3 linked regions of the Coturnix japonica genome follow. The protein of the gene in region 1 interacts with the protein of each later gene in a pairwise test. Links are inferred from orthologs where the notes say so. Each region holds a gene or a part of one and is shown on either strand. Other genes may lie near its edges.

Region 1 (4,471 bases):
GCATTACATTAAGTAGCAACTTAATGTCAAACTAATCAGCTAGGCCTGTTTTCCACAGTGCAAGTTATTCAAACTTTCATTCCTTAAATACTATATAAAGTTCAGTCAGCTGACTTATCGAGCCAAAATTGAATTAGAAAGCATACACAAATACACTAAGTATTTCACTACGTAAATAAATATTTCACTAAGCCTATTTAACCATTATTGTTTTTAATGAAAATATAGTATATCTTAAAGCAAAATTAGTAAAAAAAAAAAAGAGACTAGAAAAAAAAAACATAGAATCTAGAGATCTGGATTTTGCACAGCCACTGCACAAGCTGGTAAAATTCTGAATTAACATACAGAAGTTGATACATTTTATCTTCTTCCCTTGCTGTTCTTGTCTCAAGCAGTGGTTCAGCATCAGCCGGGCTGAAGTCACCTTCTACCTTGCCCGATCATTTTTAAAACCCCAATGAGTACCTACGAAGCATCTAGGTTTTAACTGTATGAGGCTAATACTCTAAATATTCCTCACTCTGTTCAGATGAAAACATGTATCACTTCAATAAGGACCACACTGAGCTTTAACTATTAAATTTTGTGGAGAAGCAAGGTGGATTTGTATCATACACTAATAGCTTCATGTAAGTCTCAAAATCAGAGTTCTCTACATTACAGAGTCACAACAAATTTAATACACTTTATGACAGTCCTATATAAATTACAGTGTTTTTATCGTACATCCCAGACAAGCAGATCATGGCATATCTGTCTGAAAGCCTCTAGTGCTTACTAAGACTTCTTTTGGCTACCGCATTACTACCAAATTCTTATGAGACATAAAATAATAATAAAAATTCTCGAAGAACCAACATTTTCATAGATCTTTGAAATAATTCTCTATAACGAGTTGGAAAAGCATTCTTCTGTCCTCTCACACCTCCCCTAGATTCAAGCAAAACCAATAATCCTGCCATTATAACGTCACTGAAGCCAGAAGTAACAATACCACAACGGTATTTCTTCAGGTCTTCAGCACCAACAGAATAGTTAGCTATACCACACTACTGAATGAAACAAATGATACTGAAAAGAACCTTAGAAAAAGAACTGAGAAATAGTACACATCTCCAAACCACTTTACTCAGGCTTTCATTTTCTTAATAGACTTTACTGAAACGTACAGATTGTGACACTGACAGTTCAGTCATCCTCCCTCCCACTAAGAATTCTAGAGGCCTATAGATGAAGCCCTTCCAATACCAGCAGACTACCTAAGCAATTCCTGGGGAATACTTCCATTTTGGCATCAGTGACCAATTTTAGACCTGTAATTAGTTAACCAGAACTGCAAAGTAAGGAATTCTCTCCTTTTACCACAACTTACCTTGGCCCCCTGGATGACCAAGTATATTGATTTGCTGGCAGTTTTTCTCTCAAAGAATATTCAGCAACCATCATATCAGGTGATACATAGGCACCAACACCTATTAGAAAACAAACATCTTAGATGCAAAATGAATTTGTAATAAAACAAAAAATGAACTATTTTAAATACACTACAGAATGACTATTTTAAAAAGGCTTTAAAAGAATGTTTTTTCCATCTCAGTAAATTTTATTGTTACAAACCAAGTGTAAAGCACATGCTACAAAGTTACAATGCTCACAGTGATACTAAGTAATATGTAAATCTTGCATGAAATAGGTAACTTAGAAGTGCTATTTGCATTCAACTGAACAATCCCTATCCACCATCTGTACTTATTTCACAACAGATCACTACCAAATGCGCCTTCCCCTTTTTGGGGAAAATAATTTTGTCAGTGTTTACACTGACACAAACTACACTAAGGCCGCCAAAAAGGAATCTATGTGAATTGGTTCATGTTCCCATGACTCAGAGCTACACTACCTTAAACAGATGGGCAAAAATCACACTCCTCAACCACCACACGGTGGAAAGTCAGCATTTCCCTGCTGATCAGCTCAGTGGGCCCAGAGCCCAGGCAGAAGAGAAATACTGTCTTTTGTTTTAGGGGAAGAAAAAAACCCAACAAACGTTCATACCTATTACACTAGATGTAGTACCACCAGGACATCCTACTGTAGAAAGGCAAGGGCCATTATTTCCCGCACTTGAAACATAGATTACATTGTGTTTCCACACCGCTTCGTTAATTACTTCACAAATTCTCCTGAAGTATGGGAAAAAAAAAAAAAAAAAAAAAAGGAGTTATTTAATCAACAGCATAAAACAACATATTTGGTTTTATTTTTCCTCTCTGGGTGAGAAAAATCCCATTCATAGCAGGACCAGTCACAGAGAAATATTATGCAGCCAGCTTTTGACATCAGGCAGAGTAGGTTCCAGAACTGATCTTACTTATTCTGGAAGGGATAACAGCTGCACACATCAACATTAAAATAAAAACCCAGAAAACAAAAAAACACCCAGATTACATAGTGTTTCAACTACCACAACACTTCTTTGCTCTAAACTATTCCTATTATCAAAATTCACTTTCAATATGCCTATGTAGTTTTTGTAGGTATTTAAAAAAAATAAACTGCAATATTTTAATGCCATCATTTCGGCCTGGACAATTCTTCCTTACTGACAGTACATTTACAGAAAGTCAACACCTGAAATTACACTTGTGTGATGTTAAATAACTTTATGCTAAACACAGTAGCACTTACCCAGAATTTGGCCAATGTGTTGCCTCTCCATAGCTGTAGTTGACAAGATCACATTTGTATTTTATTGCTTCTATCATCTGATAAAGCAAGAATTAAAGGCAATGTAGGTAATTACGGAATAGGAAAAAACATCTGCTTAAAACTGCCTGCTACACATTTTTGGAAAAAAGCAACATTTTTTTCAACCCTCCGGAGGGGACTGAAGTAATCTACATTAAAGTGGTGTTTTCCTAGGAGCCTAGTTAAAAAACAAAACAAGCCATTAACATGCCATGTACCAAGCTATAAATTAAGACATTAACATAATATAAAACCACAAAACTCATTAGTATTAAATATGTGTCCTTAATAAGACAAATTTCTCCTTTCTTCTGTGGTTTAGTTAAATTCCAAAAAGCCACAGTAGTAGTATTAACACAAATCTTCACTATAGCAATATATTCTATGATCTATACAAATAATCATTTTATATCTTCATTTCTTCTCTTACATCCATTCTCCTCAAACACGTAACTGTATAGCAGAGGCATTAAGACTTTGATCATGAGAAAGTAGTATTTTTTCCTCACTCTTAAGAAACAGTCACAAAGTTATACACCAGTTGCTACTCTAAGTATTATAGTTATGTAGCTAACCATAAAAAAAAAGGATAAGAATAAATAACTTTAAATAGGCTTACAAGCCACTTATCCTATGGGCTAAGTTAGACAAACACCGCAACACTCATCTGAAAAAAAAATATATATAAGCCTTACTGAATGTTTATTTCTTATAAAACAGAAGTTTTTCAATGAGCTTGGAATTATTGTTTCCTTTTATTTATTTTAAGGCTGGTGGTACTATAGGACTATAAAACCAAAGCATATGAGTTACTGAACTAGAAAGTATCTCAAATTATTCCATAACAAATTCAAACTGCTGAGGTTAACGTTTATCCAATGAAATACCTACAGCTCTTATTAAACCAGTGCCAGTTTCCATTGTACTAAGTCTCGTATCACCAATCTTGATTGCAAGAATCTGAGCTCCAGGAGCCACACCATTTCGCTCTGGCTCTTCAGGAAAATATCCTGCTGCAATACTAGCCACGTGTGTTCCATGTGCCCCTAGGCAAATGAAAATTCAAACCACTGTATGGTTAGTGAACTTCTTTTATGCTGATTTAATACACTATAGCTCTATTAGTTTTCATTTAATGAGCTACATTAGCAAACCCAGAATTGAAACTACTTAGTATAATATGATATTTATTTAAATGAGAGGCAAAAAGCCAGTAATTAGGAGCAATTTGCCAAACAAAACAGCTTTTGAGGGCAGGAAGGAGGAGGCAGAAGAAGAGAAAGAAAGTATAATAAACTTCACTAACAGTCATTAACAAAAAGGCCCAACACTTCCTACCCAAAGTAACAAAAATTATACCAAAAATAATCAGACTGTGGAAATTAGGGGGAAAAAATAAATAAAACTCCACACAGCCATAAAAGGAATCTCACAAAGTTATCACTGATTTAGAAGCCAGAACTGTTTCTGTAGTTCTTCTGATATATGACAGCTTCATGAGAAATCAAGAGCATTTAAAAAAAGGAAAACCAACCAAACAAACACATTCATACCACGTTAACCACTCAGGATGTTCCCAAAACAAAACATGGTTATAGAGAGAACACATAAAAATGGGATCAGAGCAGTCAGGGCTACAGCTATGGTGGCACCTATCATCGTTAATAAGTTTGGATAAGGCAAAATACTGATACTCTTTTGTTGACAGATGTTTTAAATA
Region 2 (5,125 bases), on another chromosome or scaffold:
TTCGCTGGTGATGGGTCAGCTTGTGCTCATTTTTTCTTAGATCTAGAAAATTAAAAAAAAAAAAAAAAAAAGAAAAAAGTTACTTAAGTTCTTACAGTGCGTTTTCAACAACACAAAGATGATGCAAATGAAGAATATTCAACGAGCAAATAGCAACTTCAATGAAGAGATTTTTAACAGGTTGCTCAATAATGGCTCTAACAGGCTCATAATGCCTCTAGCCTGTGCACTACATTTAGATTAGCTAGTTGTTGTTATTTTATCAATACAGTTTCCTCAAACTAAAGGCTTATCTGCTATCACACTGTTACCGTGAAACAAGCAATGCAACATAAGAAACATTATCAGAGAATAAACTGAGGACCCAAAGTTACACTCAATACTCACCTTCTAAAGTCTTAATTCCTTCCTCTACAAACTTCCTAGCGGCAGCAGGACTGCAAAAAAGGCAAGGCATCACGCAATTAGGAACAGCAGGAACCTTACAGCACTACAAAGGACATCACAGTTCACTCAAACTGCCCTGATTTTTCAAGGTTGAGATTACGGTTGCTTGCAGCGCTTATCATCCTTTTGTCATGCACATTTTAGCTTGTGTTTTCAAGCAACAGAGACAATTATCCAACTGCACATTTTTAGTATTGATGGAACTACATACTGATGTATGATTTTAAAAAGTAAACCAACACAATCTCACCAAACAGCCAGCACAGCTTTAGACAAATACTAGTATGGAACTGAAGGCACAAGGACTACATTCACTATTAACAGCCTCTGAATCAGCTTAAGGCAACAATGCAAGTGTCTTTAGACTACAACTTAAAAACAAACAAAAATCTACACAAGACTCTAGCTTGCAACCTACACTACAGAAAAGCAGCTTGGCTGAAGAGTTTATCATAAGCACAACATAAACACCCACAACCTTTCAGCAAATCTTTCTTCAGAATTACTGAAGCACCACTGCATCTCCTGCCTTCCACCTCAGGCAGTCTCAATATTGCTTCTCCTTCCCCACAGCATTCCACCCAGTTCTGTTTTTAAGCACCGATATTCTATATTTAGCCAATCCTGTTCTTGGCAAGCAGTATCACAGCCCTTCTCACTCAAGATATTGACTACTGCTGCTCTGCACATGCTAAATTAAGTGCCTGTCTGTAGACTGAGCTCTTTTTTTGCCAAAATTTCCCTACGCACAGTATGGGAACAAGAACAGGCCTGAGAACTCCTAATATAATCTTTCTGAAAAGTCCTGTTTTTGAGGGGTTGGCAGGGCTCTGGATCTCCTTTTACAAACATGGTACAAATACTATTCTCCCTAATCAGATTTTGCACCATAAGTCTCACAGGCTCCTACTATGTCTTCTTGATTTTACTTTTCTCAACCTTCCGATTCAGTTTCTGATCGCCTCCCTCCCTCCTTCCCCTCTCAGCTTGCACACAGGAGCTTTCTACTTCCACTCTTCTACTGCAAAACCTGTAACTGACAGCTCTACAACTCTGACAACAACCACTTCCCCCCTGCACTAACAGATAATAACCAAGCTTTACCCAATTCCAGTAACTCGTGTCAGGAAGTTGATGGAAGCACTTGTATCATCTTGTCGAATCTGCAAGAACATAATAATGTGAACAAGCTCTTCTTTACTCCATTTCAGTAGACAAAGAAAGCTTATAAAACAACTTGGTCAGATTCTGCTTTGGAGACCTACCGTAAATCAGAACAAAACAGTGTTAACAATAATACTATGCATTAGGATGGTGCCACAATGTACCATTCCTGCAAATTAATTGTCTTAACTGCCCATACTAAGGTAAACAGCGTGGTTAAAACTCAATTCCACAGCCTTCCAGAGCCTGCATTCCACTTCTTACAGAAGACATTCATGTGCCAATTGTACAATCTAAAATATAAGTAGACAGTTCAGAGGCTTTGCCTAAGCTTCTTGTTCCCCACTTTACTTTGCAGAGTGCTTGACATCAGTCCCTCCACAGAGAGGGACAGAAGCTGCACAAAAGCAGCAGACCAATTCCCAAAGAACAAAGTAAAACAACTGCTGAGAAATAAAGCACAAAGGAAAGAAACACACCTTTTCCAACTTGCGGAGCTTTCCAGTGGATAAAAACTCATCTATTTTCTCAGCTATTTTAGCACCTACTCCATCCTAAATGTTGAGGAAGGATGAAACACAAGTCAATTTCAAGGCCACATACAGCCATCACAGCTAAGAAAAATAAAGCTCAACAAAAAGCCGTGAAGTCACAGAAACCATTTTAAAACATTGTTCTATGAGAGATCGGGAGCACTGAAAGGTACAACACAAGCAGCACAAACTCAGCACTTCAAGTGCCGCATTACAAACTCGCTGAAAACAGTTATTTTAAACTGGGTTTTGATTCCTGCAACTCCAATTCCCCAAACTTGGTGAGACAGCAACACAGCAAAGCGGAAACCTGCCTTGCACAGAAGAGACCAGCTGGAGTCCCCAGCTCAAGTCTATGAGACCCCCACAGCTGATGCGCTCCGCTCCCCCCTTCCCTGAGCCGGCTGCCAGAAGCTGACGCAGGCAGAGCCGTTCGCACATCGCTTCCCTCCTCCTGGAAACCTCGGTACCGTCCTAACGCAACTCCTTCACCCCGAGAAGCCCAAATTCGCCCCGGGACCCACCAGCTTCTTCGCTTCGGCTCCGCTCTGGATCCTGCTGGGGTACCGGGAGATGGCGGAGGCCGCTTTCCTGCGGAACGGCATCGGTCAGAGCCCAGAGCCGCGCAGCGCTCAGCCCCCAGCACGGCTCGTGCAGCGAGGCCGGGCCAGACCCCCGAGAGCCGGGAGCGAGTTAAAGAAACGGGTCAGGCCTGAGGAAGGAGACGGTACCTGTACGCGTTGTACTTGTGGATGGCCCGGCTCACGTTGCGCTCGTAATTCGCGAGCTCTACGGGGAGAAACACAGTCGGACCAGTCGAGCCGAACCCCAGACCCGCCCCCCGCGCCCCCCATACCCATGAGGAAGTCCGTGATGCCCTGGTTCAGGCTCTCCTGCGGCGCTTTCCGTTTGCTCATGGCGGGCAGCAGGAGCGACTAACACCGGAAAAGCGGCCGGCAGCGCTTCCGGCGGTGACAGGGAAAGGCCGCGGTTCCGGCGGGGAGGAGCCGGGTTGGGTTCCGCGTTCCGCCGGCACAGCGCAGGCGCGGCCGGCAGAGGAGTGGTCCGGCCGGAGGGGAGGCCCAGGAGGCCCTGGAGGCCCCGGAGGTCCCGGAGGTCGGAACTCTGCTGCTGCTCGAGAATCAGCCGGGCATTTGTTGTGGTTCACTTCAGAACATAATGCGGAACTGTGGCAGTTGTAAAGCATTGTATTGAGGGCTGCGGACGTTATGTTCCTTGGGACACACTGGTTTCTTTTTAAGCTCCTCGTGTTCTATGTTGGAGTTGCACGTAGCTATAATCAGTGAAGGGTGCTGATGGAGATACCTGCCTGGTCCCTGTATATCCCAGCTAATTTAAACGGCAATATGGGGTTTGGACTGGTTTCCAAGTGCTCTTCCCAGTTCCTTATGCACGTTCAGGGTGCCAGCTTAGGTACTATGCTATCAGTCTGTCTGCATGTATGCTCTGCAAGAGTAATTTACGTTATGTAGAGGAAGCCTTCCCAAAAATCAGAGAATGGTGAGTGGCAGGAAATATGATGAGGTCTAGGAAAGAGGTTAGAAGCTTGGGGACCCCTAGTGTCATGGGATTTTACTCTTGAACACCTGTGGGACCCTGAGAAACTAAGTGAGTATCTGAGTAAGGGATGGTGCAGCTCAGAAAGATCTGAGGAGGAATGGCTTATTTGGGGCTTGGCTTGTGCTTACCGAGCTCTATATAACACTATTGTGGAGAGAGAGAGTTCCCAAACTGAGATCCAAACCAAAAGTTTGGATCAGTCCGAGTCAAAAGTCCGAGTCAATCTTGGTCACTCAAAGGAGGCACCAGTATCAGTGTCAGTTGCCCCTGTGGAAGGCCAGAAATGGAAATGGGTGTCTCACAAGGGTTCTCACAAGGGTTGTAATCATAACCTTGGACTATAATGGGGGAAAACATCCTGCCCTGCGCCTTTGTTGTGCCTCTCACTGTCCTTCATAGCACAGTGACTGTAGGCTCAGTCCTTCACAGCCCCAAAGGACCAGGATGAAGGAGCACATGACAGCCATGGCCAAAGTTTCACTCGCGGAGAATGAAATACCCAGGGGGAAAAAATGGGGAAAGCAATGCTTTTGTAGGGTTAATAGTAATTCTATGTGCTTCCCAGTTTCTGGTACAGAATTCATTATTAGTGATGATGATGATATCAAATGACATCTCTTTGGTTTTCCATGTGCACAGGCTGTCTGTTGTGTATGGCTGCCCAACTGACCAATGCAGTGATTACAAGTCGTGTGAAGGAGTTCATTCTCATCGGCCTCTCTGAGAGTCGAGGTGTGCAGGGGCTGTACTTTGTGATGTTTCTTTGCTTCTATGCAATGAACGTGGTGGGAAATCTGCTCATTATTGTCACCGTGATGAGCAGCCAACACCTGAACTCCCCCATGTACTTCTTCCTCTGCTACTTGTCCTTTGTAGACATCTGTTACTCCTCTGTCACAGCTCCCAAAATGATTGCTGACTTCCTTGTCAAAAACAAAACCATCTCCTTTGTGGGCTGCATGGCGCAGCTCTTTGGGGTCCATTTCTTTGGCTGCACAGAGATCTTCATCCTGACAGTGATGGCCTACGATCGCTACACGGCCATCTGCAGACCTCTCCACTACCCCACGCTCATGACCAGGCGCACGTGCAGCCGCATGGTGGTGGGCTCATGGCTGGGGGGCTGCATGCATTCCATTGTGCAGACTCTTCTGATCACTCTGCTGCCCTTCTGTGGCCCCAACAAAGTTGACCACTACTTCTGTGATGTCCATCCCCTGCTACAGCTGGCCTGTGCTGACACCTACGCCATCGGCGTCACTGTCATTGCCAACAGCGGGATGATAGCTCTGAGCTCTTTTGTCATCTTGGTTGTGTCTTACGTGGTGATCTTGGTTTCCTTGAGAAGTCACACATCCGAAGGACGGCGCAAGGCCCTCTCCACCTGTGGGTCCCACATC
Region 3 (5,210 bases), on another chromosome or scaffold:
CTGTCACAGGAAGCAATCCAATGTTTCTGTGCTTACATTAGCCGTGTGATCAGCAGCTGCAAAATAGCAATAGAAAGAGTCTGGTTCAGATGGTTCTGGATTTTCCATAGGAAATGACTTAGAAGCCCTTAGTTTCACAGCACTTACAGCAACACCCTCCTGCCAGAAGAAAGATTTGTCATCCAAGCTGCCCGTGTTATCTGTATTAATACCACACAATTGGTTTTGCCACATGAAACTCTACTTGCAAAAATATTTCTTCTCCCTTCATTATAGCTTTCTGCCAGGGAGAATTTCTTGTGGGATAAAGAGGAGGAATCATCACCCAGATTTGAGGCAGCTGCTTGTTCTCCTGCCCTGGAGCAATGTTCCTACCCCAGGACGTGTCCCAGCCCAGTGTGAGCTGCATGGCATGCAATGCACATGCTGTAAGTGATACTAAGAGATGTCATTTTCCATGAAGGAAATCATAGTAAAATGTATGACAGTAGAACTGTAAAAATCCTCAAGAGTATCACAACTTCAAACAGCCAGAGCATGAAAGAGACAAAAAGTCACCCTCATTTGCATAACTATTTCATTACTGCGCGACAGCATCATTCGTTTAACAGTAACAATGAGAAATTCACTGCTATGTATTCGGCTCTGCCATGTGTACTGTTTTGACTGCAAGAAAAGCCATCCCGATGGGGTGCTTCAGTGCTATGTATCTCAGCAGCATTCTGGGTGGGTACAACATGCCCCCCAGCACAGACTGTTGTTGGGGCTGACCACACCAGGTTATTTCTCCCTTGCACAAAACTCTACCCATCGGTAACAAGGGTTTGTAACAAGGCTTCAAATTATTATTATTATTATTTTGCAAGGATTTGCAAACACAGATTTAAAGATAAATGAAAGTAGCTTAAGGGAATCCTGAAAATTAACTCAGCCAGGCTGCAATCTAACAATAGAAAATGCTTTTAGTGCATCGTGCAGGTCTGCTCCCTTCCCTTTGTATTTCCCCCCAACATTCAAAGCATCCACAGTCACTGCATGAGGGATGGTCTGGTATGTATCTACATACCCTCATTTAGCATCCCTTACAGACCTGCTGCTCATGAATTTGTCTAATCCTTGATCCAGCCAACCCATCTGCCTCCACGGGCTCCTGTTGCATCAAGCTTTGTATGATCTCTTTGAAAACAATCTCCTAGCAGTGTAATCAAACGCCCCTACATCAGCTACTGAAGGATTTTGTAATCAAAAATAGACAAATTGATTTACCTTCTTTGGGGTTTCATAAACCTCACCCTTATTCTCCCACAGCCTTTCGCCTCCAACCTGATGACTCTCAACCTCTTCACTGTGCTTTCTTAGTGCATTGCTCTGGCCTTTCAGTTCTGGTTGTCCCCTTCCAGATTGTCCCTGTGTCCTTCTGCAAATGCATAGTCCAGAACTACAGGCAGTACTTCAGAAGTCCTTTAGTGTTTTGTTTTTTTATCATAGAGGAATGGTGCTCTCTCTTTTGTTCCGTTCTCAGCATATGTGCTGGGTTCTTTGGGCTGTCCAAGCACACTGAGCTGGTGATCTCAAAGATCTCTCAGTGGTAAAGATCCCTTTCCTGAACTGTAACTGACAGAGTTCTCTTTTTTCTCCTGCTTTTCCCCCCTATTGTTTTTAGCAAGCAAGTTTGGTTCATGCCAGCTCTGTTGGTGGAGAGATAGATTAGCTTGAAGAGAGGTTGTGTGGAAACCAAATTTGCTGCCAGCCTCACAAGTCAGCAAATATTCCTCAGGAAAGCACCGCCTGGGAGGTACGTGCACAGCAGCAGATGCTGTTAGACAGCAAAAAGCAAATTTCTACCCACGAGTGGCTTCTAAAGTGCTAATGGCTGGTGCGATGGAGAGGGAGCTGGGCAAACGGTGCCGAGTATCACATCTAATGGGGAGAAAGAGGTGAGGCTGCAGCACAGCAGTGCAGGAAAAGCACATCAGCCTTTTAAAAGGCATCTGTGCCTGCTGTGAAATTAAATTGTCAGGACTGCAGGACACAGCTCCGGTCTGTAACTTTCCCTGCCTCCTATCACCTACATAAACAGACATCTCAAGCAGCAATCACAAACCTGCTCCCCTGCAGACAGAGTAACTAAAATATGCAAGAGCAGAAGGTACATACAAGGATCACAGAGTGTCCTCTACCTTCCCTCGCTATAGCCAGGTCTCAGCTCAAAGGTCTTTCTGTGCTTTCAAACATTGCAGTGAAGGAGTGAGGGCTGGCAGCTGGAGCAATGCACCTTGTGTTCCCCATTCATGCTCATCCATTCCCCTCAGCTTTTTTTTAACCAACTTTCTGCTCTAGAAGCTGTGTGTGTCTGCAGTGGATGTTTTGCCTCTTGAGTACAGATGGAAAGGTGGAAAAGTCCAACTTCAGGGGCTCTGCTTGGCTGCCTGTCCCCGGCTGGTCTGAGATCACCTTCTTCACCAGGTGTAGCATTGGGAGGTCAATGCCTTACTCGTTTCTAAAGGCACATGAGCAGCCTGCACTCTGACACTGGGGCTGGATATCGGTGCCTCCTGCTGAGCCGTGCCCTCTGCTCACAGAGCTCTTTGCCCCAACCCCTGTGCGCACTTGGAAGCAGAGCTATCAGCCAACGTGAGAAGCAGCAAATCGTGGAGGGAAAGCCGATTTCCACCTAAATGCACAGGAGCTGGGGAGTGGAAGAGCTGAGCTAACGCTGCGACTGACGAGAGATTCCAAGGGAGATGGCAGAAAGCACACACCCATGAACCTGGCGTAAAAAAAAAACCCTTTAAACATTATAGCGAGGAGCACAAATCCCGAAGGAGCTCGGCGCGGTGATAGCAAAGCGATATCTAAGCCCTAAGCCTCGTGTTGTCGTTCTGCAGGAGCCACAGCCGCACCCAGCCCGTGTGGAGAAAGCCCCGAGTCCCTGTAACCGAGCAGGGGGCCGGGCCCGCCTCACGTAATGGCGGGCGGTGCCTCCTTTACCTCAGCGCGTTGACCGGCGGGTTGCGGAGCCGAATGACGGCCACGGCCGCGGCTCCCCTCGCGTACTGCGCCATACCGAGCACTGCCGCTGTCCCCTCGCTTCTGCCCGGCGCCCGGCCTACAGCGCGGCCTGCACAGGCGGGGCGGGGCGGAACGCGACAGGGCACGGCACCCTGCGGGGTCACTGTGTGATCCGTGTGTTTGAATATAAACCTTACAGCAGGAGGTTTAGGTTGGATATAAGGGAAAAGTCTCGTGCTAAAAAGAGTAGTGAAGCCCTGGCACAGGTTCCCAGGGTGCTGCCCAGTCTCTGGAGATGCCCAAGGTCATCTGGGTGGGCTCCCAATGGAGCTGTAGGCTTAATCCACAGTGTAGTTTAACCTAAATAGCTTGCTGTGGAAAGCTAGCTTATTTAGGGATTTTTTAATGTATCTCTAATCTCTCTTTTATAGGTCCTGGCCAAGTCAGCCACTTGGTATAATGAGGTCCTCCATCATAGAACATCCGGAGTTGGAAGGGACCCACAAGGTCTTTTAAGAGAATCTCGGAAATCAGCGTGTCTGTCTAGCCTGCCTTTTAGCAGATTGTTTAGGAGATTGTTAACTAACAACATGTGTGTGAATGGGAGAGGTGCTTGAGGTCTCATGACCTCTCTCCAAGCACATGGAGGTGCTGTACCCAAATGTATTATAAGGGATGTGCTGTTGTTCTGTTGGGGTGCATGGTGAGGGGTCTGGAGCACAAGGAGAGGCTGAGGGAACTCAGTCCAGAGAAAGGAAGGCTCAGGGGAGACCTTATTGCTCCCTACAACTCCCTGAGTGGAGGTTGTGGCAAGGTGGAGGTTGGTTTCTTCTTTCTCATAACTAGCAGTAAGACTAAAGGGAATAGCCACAGGTTGTGCCAGGCAAAATTCATGTTGGATGATAGGAATAATTTCTCCAGAACAGTGGTTAGGCCCTGGAATGGGCTGCCCAGGGAGGTGTTTGAGTCACTGTCCCTGGAGGTGTTCAAGAAGCATTCAGATGTTGTACTGAGGGACATGGTTTAGTGGGAAATATTGGTTGTGGGTGGACCGGATTATCTTGGAGGTCTTATCCAAGCTTGGTTGTTCTATGATTAGGTGGAAGGATCCCCTTGTGCATCCAGTGCTATTTTAAAGAATGCCAGCTTCTGAATAACACATTGGTTTTAAGGAGTTTTATTTGGACCAGGGTCTGTTTTGCAGCACATTGAGTCCAACCCCTGGCTCTACATAGTGCCACTTGAAAATCAGACCGTATGTCTCAGGGTGGTGTCTGGATTCTTCTTGAGCTCTGGCAGCTTAGGGCCGTGCCCACTGCCCTGGGAGCCTGTTCTCAGTGAATAAATCCTTCCTCGTTCCCCAGCTTAAAATGAGCTGTAACAAAATTGTTAAGTTTGCTCGTGTTCCTTGATGGATAGCCCTGAAGTTTGTTTGGATAATGGGAAGAGCTTTCTCATTGTATCAAGTAGATAATTAGATAGATATTGGTCTTTTTACCAAGCAAATAAGGGGAGTTCTGTTAAGTCTTTGTACCAAGTAGATAAGGAAGTTCTGCTTGGAATCAGCTATTGTGAAAGCAAGTATTGAATGCATTTGTACCTCCAAGAAAACCTCAGCATATGTGATGCAAGTAATGTACATAAGCTGAAGATCTTTTGTACAAGGTATTCGTGATAGGTGGAATGCAACCCCCGTGCTTTCAGCACTGAAAATACAGAGTGCCTGCCTTCTGATGCTCCAGTTTGATTCCTGAAGAGTTTCACAACAGAGCGACTTACAGCATCAATTTAGCACCCCAGATGGGGTAAGCCTCAACAGTTCCTGAGTTCACAGTGTCATCTAACACAGAGGTATTCTTGGGAGGACCTTGATCCCCAGGTTGAAGAGCCCTGCAGACAAGACCACTGATTAGTGAGTATTAAAACATTCTTTTATTATCATGATTATTTTGTTTTGGCTGCCTGCCCATCACTTGTAGTGAAAGTTGTGCATGGTAGGGCTATCAACTTGGATGAGGACTTCACTTCCCCCTGTTCGGTTTATTTTGGTTGCCTATCTGTCAGGCATAATGAAAGTTGTGCAGGGTAGGGCTAAGAACTCAGGTAAGAGGTTAAGGTTCCGCCCCCCCAAGGTAAATATTAAATGTGATAAGACAAAACCAGGGATAATGCTCTGCAATTTCCCTGTAAAACAGTGC

The links.
Region 2: the proteins of TPP2 (region 1) and POLB interact in binary tests that used the Homo sapiens proteins (3 or more experiments, as listed by UniProt). The two-hybrid records come from large-scale screens. The link is inferred for Coturnix japonica from reciprocal best matches to the Homo sapiens genes TPP2 and POLB.
Region 3: the proteins of TPP2 (region 1) and EHHADH interact in binary tests that used the Homo sapiens proteins (3 or more experiments, as listed by UniProt). The two-hybrid records come from large-scale screens. The link is inferred for Coturnix japonica from reciprocal best matches to the Homo sapiens genes TPP2 and EHHADH.

The regions. Positions count from the first base shown.
Region 1 is NC_029516.1:128,554,452-128,558,922, forward strand, and holds part of TPP2 (tripeptidyl-peptidase 2), read right to left. Parts: intron 3,798-4,471; coding exon 3,643-3,797; intron 2,769-3,642; coding exon 2,692-2,768; intron 2,187-2,691; coding exon 2,059-2,186; intron 1,476-2,058; coding exon 1,376-1,475; intron 1-1,375. UniProt on the Homo sapiens protein: Cytosolic tripeptidyl-peptidase that releases N-terminal tripeptides from polypeptides and is a component of the proteolytic cascade acting downstream of the 26S proteasome in the ubiquitin-proteasome pathway.
Region 2 is NC_029537.1:4,115,011-4,120,135, forward strand, and holds the start of POLB (DNA polymerase beta), read right to left. Parts: upstream 3,139-5,125; 5' UTR 3,062-3,138; coding exon 3,001-3,061; intron 2,934-3,000; coding exon 2,876-2,933; intron 2,736-2,875; coding exon 2,669-2,735; intron 2,166-2,668; coding exon 2,091-2,165; intron 1,611-2,090; coding exon 1,552-1,610; intron 438-1,551; coding exon 388-437; intron 43-387; coding exon 1-42. Other genes in the region: olfactory receptor 4S2-like, read left to right, coding at 4,334-5,125.
Region 3 is NC_029524.1:2,567,568-2,572,777, forward strand, and holds the start of EHHADH (peroxisomal bifunctional enzyme), read right to left. Parts: upstream 3,139-5,210; 5' UTR 3,066-3,138; coding exon 2,992-3,065; intron 622-2,991; exon of another isoform or gene 277-621; intron 1-276. UniProt on the Homo sapiens protein: Peroxisomal trifunctional enzyme possessing 2-enoyl-CoA hydratase, 3-hydroxyacyl-CoA dehydrogenase, and delta 3, delta 2-enoyl-CoA isomerase activities. Catalyzes two of the four reactions of the long chain fatty acids peroxisomal beta-oxidation pathway.